2 linked regions of the Kluyveromyces lactis genome follow. The protein of the gene in region 1 purifies or fractionates together with the protein of each later gene. This does not show direct contact. Links are inferred from orthologs where the notes say so. Each region holds a gene or a part of one and is shown on either strand. Other genes may lie near its edges.

Region 1 (3,307 bases):
GAATTACCATCATAGTTTTTGCTAGCAGCAATCTCTTCGATGATATGGCTAAACCATTGTGCATATTCACGAGAGTTGGACAAACACGGTGATTCGGGTATGAAGTATTTCACATGAAGTCTAACCCCAAGTTTGGCAAGTTCTCGACTCAATGACCTTAATGCATCGAGCTGGAACTTCAATTTCCATCCGCTTTCCATATGGGCGATCCAATCGTGCTCGTTGATTACGTATAGTGCCTCAACAGAACCACTCTTTGACTGGTTCAACGCGTACGCTAATCCTGTATTATCACGGACACGTAAATCACCCCTAAACCAATGGATCACTAGCCTGTTATCAACCGTATCATCCAGCTGTTGCCTTGAATTTTTGCTGTCAGCATGGATAGAGTCCCCCAACAACGCTAGAGGTCTTTCCCTTTTCCCATTATTAAACTCATTCGCTTTTTTGAAGGTGATAGGATTACGATAGTAAACAGGGTTCGGACTGAGACACTCGGAGACGTTTTTTTTTATAGAATTACTGTTGCCAACCCGCATAGTTTTCTTATGTCCCACTTTTATTAGCCTTGCCTTAAGAATAAGTAGCAACCTCAAAATCAGTAGTAATCAGAAGCAATTGCACGCCTCTATTCAGCTTTAACTTCCTTGACAAAAAATTCGAATTACTGATATCGGAGTCTTGAAAATTTCACCGTTGGTGCAGTATGTCTTATAATATTCCTTTATGATATTGGAGAAGCACGGCGTTTCGAACGGTCTTTAAGTAAATTGTTCTTTCTTCAAAGGAATCACTCACACACAGGACTGGTATTGAATTGGATTGCAATCTCCACTACTGATCAAATATTGGTCTTACAATAAATGACAAGTATGGAATGGGGCGCCCTTCGTTCTGTTTCATTGGAATATTTTTGTCTGATGGCATAGATACTCACTTTTAAGGTTTTCTATACCGTTTTGCCATGCTCTTTTGTATGTCGGAAGATTGATAGCAAAAATACTACGGAAATGAGCAAGAATGACAAGTCAAAAGTGGTTGCTTTAGAACGTGTAGTCCTGACATATAAATGTATATACATACCTAACTGGGCGTTTGTGGTTCCTTGCGATTTCCACCCAATGCTGAAGCTAAGATAACGTGCTGTGTCTTCCTAAGATGAACAGAAAGGAACATCGAAACATGGACAAATCCAAATACCATTTCAATGGTTCAATATTTTTCAGAAACCCGCCCTATTATTCGAACTGGTAATATATAGGTTTCCGCCGCAGTTAGCATGTACGATGTTCATAGTAATCGTTATGACATCCGTGGTTTTTGTTCAAGAAAACAATCATAAGGCTCACAACTTTCATTGCTATAGACGCTGTGACAAAAATATCTTCTATTTAGGACTAGGATGTCCTCGATTCTGTGATGCTGTAGCACTACTGCAGCATTACTACTAGCAAACGCTACTAAATATTCAACTCATGCACTTATTGTTGACCTAAGCCCTTATTCATTATACTGTCCGGAGTGAAAAAAAAAAAAAAAAAATTCTCGTAATGCATTCCAGCCTAAAATAATACAAGAGTGTCATCCCAGAAGCTGCAATCACCAGAATATCATTTAATTGTCAAGTAATTTGAATCGCTTGGTGCTGAGGAAATAGACCGGCCATGAGCTTTTCAAGAAACGCTTTTAGTGCGTTAGTCGGTGTTGGTACCGTGTCGTACTTTTGGGGGAAATCTAGTGCACTATCTGGCGGAAACTCTGGTACCTCATTCCCGGGATCCACTGGTAGTAGCAATAACATTCCATCAGATCCCAGTTCCTCAAACCAAGCTGGTCGCGTCTCGTTAGTTGGAAGTAACGTTGATCCTGGTGCATTCTTCAAGTACGGATTCCCTGGGCCAATTCATGATCTGGAAACAAGACAAGAGTTCATCTCGTGCTATGATAGGAGAACAAGGAACCCATACTGGGTACTTGAGCACATTACACCAGAATCCTTAAAGACAAAGGGTGCTGATAGGAAGAACTCTATATTCAAGGAAGACGAGCAGATTCCAGAGATGTTCCGCGGTCGACTAAAGGATTATTTCAGATCCGGTTACGATAGAGGACATCAAGCCCCTGCGGCGAACGCGAAGTTCTCCCAACAGGCAATGGACGATACTTTCTATTTGACTAATATGTGCCCTCAAGTGGGTGAAGGTTTCAATAGAGATTACTGGGCACATTTGGAGTATTTCTGCAGACAATTAGTCGATAAATACAACAGTGTTCGAATTATGACAGGTCCCTTATACTTGCCGAAGCGAGACCCCAAAGACGGTAAGTTCAAAGTCACATACGAGATGATTGGAAATCCACCTAACATTGCAGTCCCAACGCATTTTTTCAAGTTGGTCGTGGCTGAAAGACCTAAGCAGCTTGGAAATGGTCGTGATGATGAGCTGCACGTTGCCGCATTTGTCTTACCAAATGCTCCTATTTCGAACTCTACAACATTAATAGAGTTTGAAGTACCCGTCAATGCATTAGAAAGGAGTTCCGGCCTGCAGCTGTTGCAGAATGTTCCAAAGGAGAAGAAGAAGGAGTTGTGTAAACAAGTGCGGTGCGAAATAACTGTAAGAGAGTTTAATAATACTGTTTTAGCATTGCCTGGGAAGTAATAACGTATATAGATTTGGCCTAGGTGTGAATATATAGGGTATAATAAACACTTTAGCAAAAGAATTTTGGGTTCTTAGTATTACAAACTAGGCAATGTGACTGTTCCACTTCCAACGCACAAGTGTAGCAATACCTTGTATTGCAGCAAGTGATTGTAAATGCATTTGTAGCGACCTCACCACAAACAGGGCATAAAGTATTCTTTTGCGAAAACTTCTCACCAGGGGCCCCAACTGAAGAACTACCACCGGCAATAGCCTTTGCAGCTGCCACCGCAGCTGCGTTAGTACTTGTCACAGAAACGAATCCGTTTTTAAATAACGATAGACCAGCTATCATCTCAATGGAAGCATTCCAGAGCATCTGAACCTCAGATGCTGATGATCCTGAAGTAGTATCAGAATACGAGAATCCCGGTTGGAACACTGCAGGGACTCGGAACAATCGATGCAAAAGAGAGGGACCACCTGTACCCGACGTTAAAAATTGTAAAAGATGGATCAAATCTAAAAGTTCGTAAACCAAATTGGTCCTTTCAAACCGATGCAACAGATGTCTTAATACCACGGTAACAGCAAATAACCGCCAACGAGAGCATTGATAGCCAACACCAGTGAGAACACTACCATATGTTGCGACA
Region 2 (2,857 bases), on another chromosome or scaffold:
ACTATCTAAGTATCACAGTAAAGATGGGATCAAATACCATTTGCACATTGACTTCTACAAGCCAATTGATACGGAAAACTCGGAGCAGAGGGTAGCTAACGGTAGAAACTACTTTTTGGTGTTAAGGAAGAAAGATTTAGGCCTTGAATACTGGCCCAGATTGACCAAGGAGAAGCTTAAGTATCATTACATTAAAACCGACTTTGATAAATGGGTTGACGAAGATGAACAAGAAGAGAATGTTGCTGCTGATAACGACTTGATGTCACAATTTGGCCAAATGGGGGGCGCTGGCTTCCCTGGAATGGAACAAGGTTTCAATCCACAAGCCTTCGCTGACGCCGGAATCAACCTGGATGAGGCATTACCAGAAGAAGATGATGAAGATGACGAAGAAAAAGCTGAATAGGTATGATCGGATGGTCTGCAAAGGCGATTTCTATCAAGATTTAATTCATTTATTTGCTGTATACAGTCATGCGCATATATAGGTGTATAAATACGAACAAAAATTTCTATTATATATTATGATATTGAGCGGCTTTGAATAAAAAGCTATTTAGACCTTTTGGAACTTCAATTCATCTTTATACAAAATCTGGGAGGCAACCCAGTTTTCGCCTGGTGCCAAAACCACGAAATCATGAACATGACCTGGTTCGACACACACCATATTTTTAAACCCATCCTTTGGTTCAAAATCTGCCATACCTTTAGATTTTTCCACCCACGGATTCCAAACGACAGTATCTGGTAGGTTGTGTCTTTTCAAGGTATGGATTGGGTACCCCTTATCGATCACTTGGATGATTCTGTCTTCGTCAACATTTTGATAAATTCTATCTAATTCTTCATGCACAGAAATCACAGGTTGTCTGTCAATATAGCTTTCCTTCAATAGTTGATCGTACAATTTGGTGCTGCTCAAATTAGAAACCAACGTATCTTCAATGTCATCAATTTTCAAGTAAGTATGGAATAACCAATTGAACTTCAAATTTTGCGTAGTGCTTGTATTTAGTACCTCAATTTCAGTTTTCAAGTATTCATCACCAAGTTCTACTGATAGCACCAAAGAGTATTCAAATGGCCACAAGTTGGTTAGCTCTTCATTAGCAAACTCAGGTCCCAAGCCTAACTGAATGGTTGGAGGGTTAGACTTCACTTGGCCCAAAAATTCCCATACGGAATTTCTTGCTAAACCGTGTTGTGGTAATTTACTTAGATGTTCATCATCATGGTTCTTACCAAAAACTGGAAAAACTAATGGAATACCACCACGAACCGGTTTGGAACCATCGAGCTTAGCAGCAGTAGATAACCATAATTGCTCTTCACCTTTTAATTCCCAGGAAAATACCGTGGCACCATACTTTAGAATTCTTGCTTTTGTTGATGAATTGTTAGGATGTGTCAGGATGATTTCAGTTTCAGTTTCCTCGATAGGCATAGTTGTTATGTAGTTTTGATTGTCAATAGTAGCACCAATTACTGATCCTAGCTTCTAGTAGTCTTCTTATTTTCCTTTCTTCTTTTATCAATTTCATCAGTGAGCGTACTGTAACGAGATTAAATTTCGTATTCAAGTTAATTCTTGGATTTTTAAGGTAACAACATTACCTACATAACAACGTTAACAATAAATGAAAGACAAGCTGGCACGCAGAATGCAATAATTGAAGATCCTAGAAGGTATACTTTTAATGAATGTTCGTTGAGTAGAATATCAGGTTTCATTAGATTTTAATGTATGTTGGTTGTGTATATAAATGCTGATCTATATAATTTATCCTTGATGGTCTAAAAACTGTAATTTATCAATAATGTTACGAATATAGGGTGTGTTGCAAAGTTGATCCATGTTCCAACGTTCGCTTTTTCTTACGAGTGTGTTCTGGACTATCTCTTTGGCAGGATGATCGGTGTCTGCATTCTTTAGCCATTTCCAGTCGCATCTTGCAATTCTATGGGCAATGGATCGGGTTCTTCTTGAACTCTGACCAGGTAAGGGGTCAAACGGCAACCTATCTTCCAACAATGCATAAGTAATTACTCCAAAGGCCCAAGCATCGCTGATTCTTCCATCATACGGAAGTCCTAAGAGAATTTCAGGAGAAACATAGTCCTCTGACCCGCAACGGGTTGTACACATTTCATCTGGGGTTATCTTCTTACAGAGACCAAAATCTGCTAACTCTACGAAATTCTTTGAAAAGAACTGGCTCTCGTCCTCTTTTAATAACATCATATCATCTAGAGTATACTTTAATAAGACGTTCTCAAGTTTAATATCCCGATGAATGATAAAATTATCATGCAAATATTTTATGGCAACGGATAATTCTGTGATAATTCTGGTGAGTAGCCAGTTTGGAATTTTAGTTTTGCTAGCCAAATCGAACAAATCACCACCAGTGCAATATGACATTATCATATCACATCTGGGTAAAGCAGAGAGCTTACGCCTTCCGTACAATGGATGTTCATCTGTAATAAACGTGGTATCATTGATTGCAAAGAGTTTCACGATACATGGATGGTGCACAGAAATTAGAGTGGTCAGTTCCCGCTTCAAAGAACTTACAACTCGACTCAATAATTCTTTGTATTTCGGAGATGACGGAGATGAGCTCATAAGTAACTCTCTCGGATATTTAATGCTTTTAACTGCCACATATTTCAGTTCCGGATTTAAATTGATGTTCAAATTATCATCGATGCATTCATAAAGATAGACAGTACTGAAATTTCCTGACCCAATCTCTTTTATTTTAGACCATTGGAAGCTAATATGATTTGGAGTGTTAGCCATGTATCCCCTAATAATCGTACCATCAGCTTTTTGTTCATTTTCTTT

The links.
Region 2: the proteins of NUC1 (region 1) and KLLA0_C14300g purify together in Saccharomyces cerevisiae (affinity purification with mass spectrometry; 4 studies listed by BioGRID, with this or other methods). This does not show direct contact. The link is inferred for Kluyveromyces lactis from reciprocal best matches to the Saccharomyces cerevisiae genes NUC1 and YMR099C.

The regions. Positions count from the first base shown.
Region 1 is NC_006040.1:38,650-41,956, reverse strand, and holds NUC1 (ribonuclease), read left to right. Parts: upstream 1-1,667; coding exon 1,668-2,666; downstream 2,667-3,307. Other genes in the region: deoxyribodipyrimidine photo-lyase PHR1, read right to left, coding at 1-542; PEX2 (ubiquitin-protein ligase peroxin 2), read right to left, coding at 2,719-3,307. UniProt on the Saccharomyces cerevisiae protein: This enzyme has both RNase and DNase activity.
Region 2 is NC_006039.1:1,241,545-1,244,401, reverse strand, and holds KLLA0_C14300g (glucose-6-phosphate 1-epimerase), read right to left. Parts: upstream 1,451-2,857; coding exon 560-1,450; downstream 1-559. Other genes in the region: Hsp90 cochaperone SBA1, read left to right, coding at 1-409; serine/threonine protein kinase PRR1, read right to left, coding at 1,787-2,857. UniProt on the Saccharomyces cerevisiae protein: Catalyzes the interconversion between the alpha and beta anomers from at least three hexose 6-phosphate sugars (Glc6P, Gal6P, and Man6P).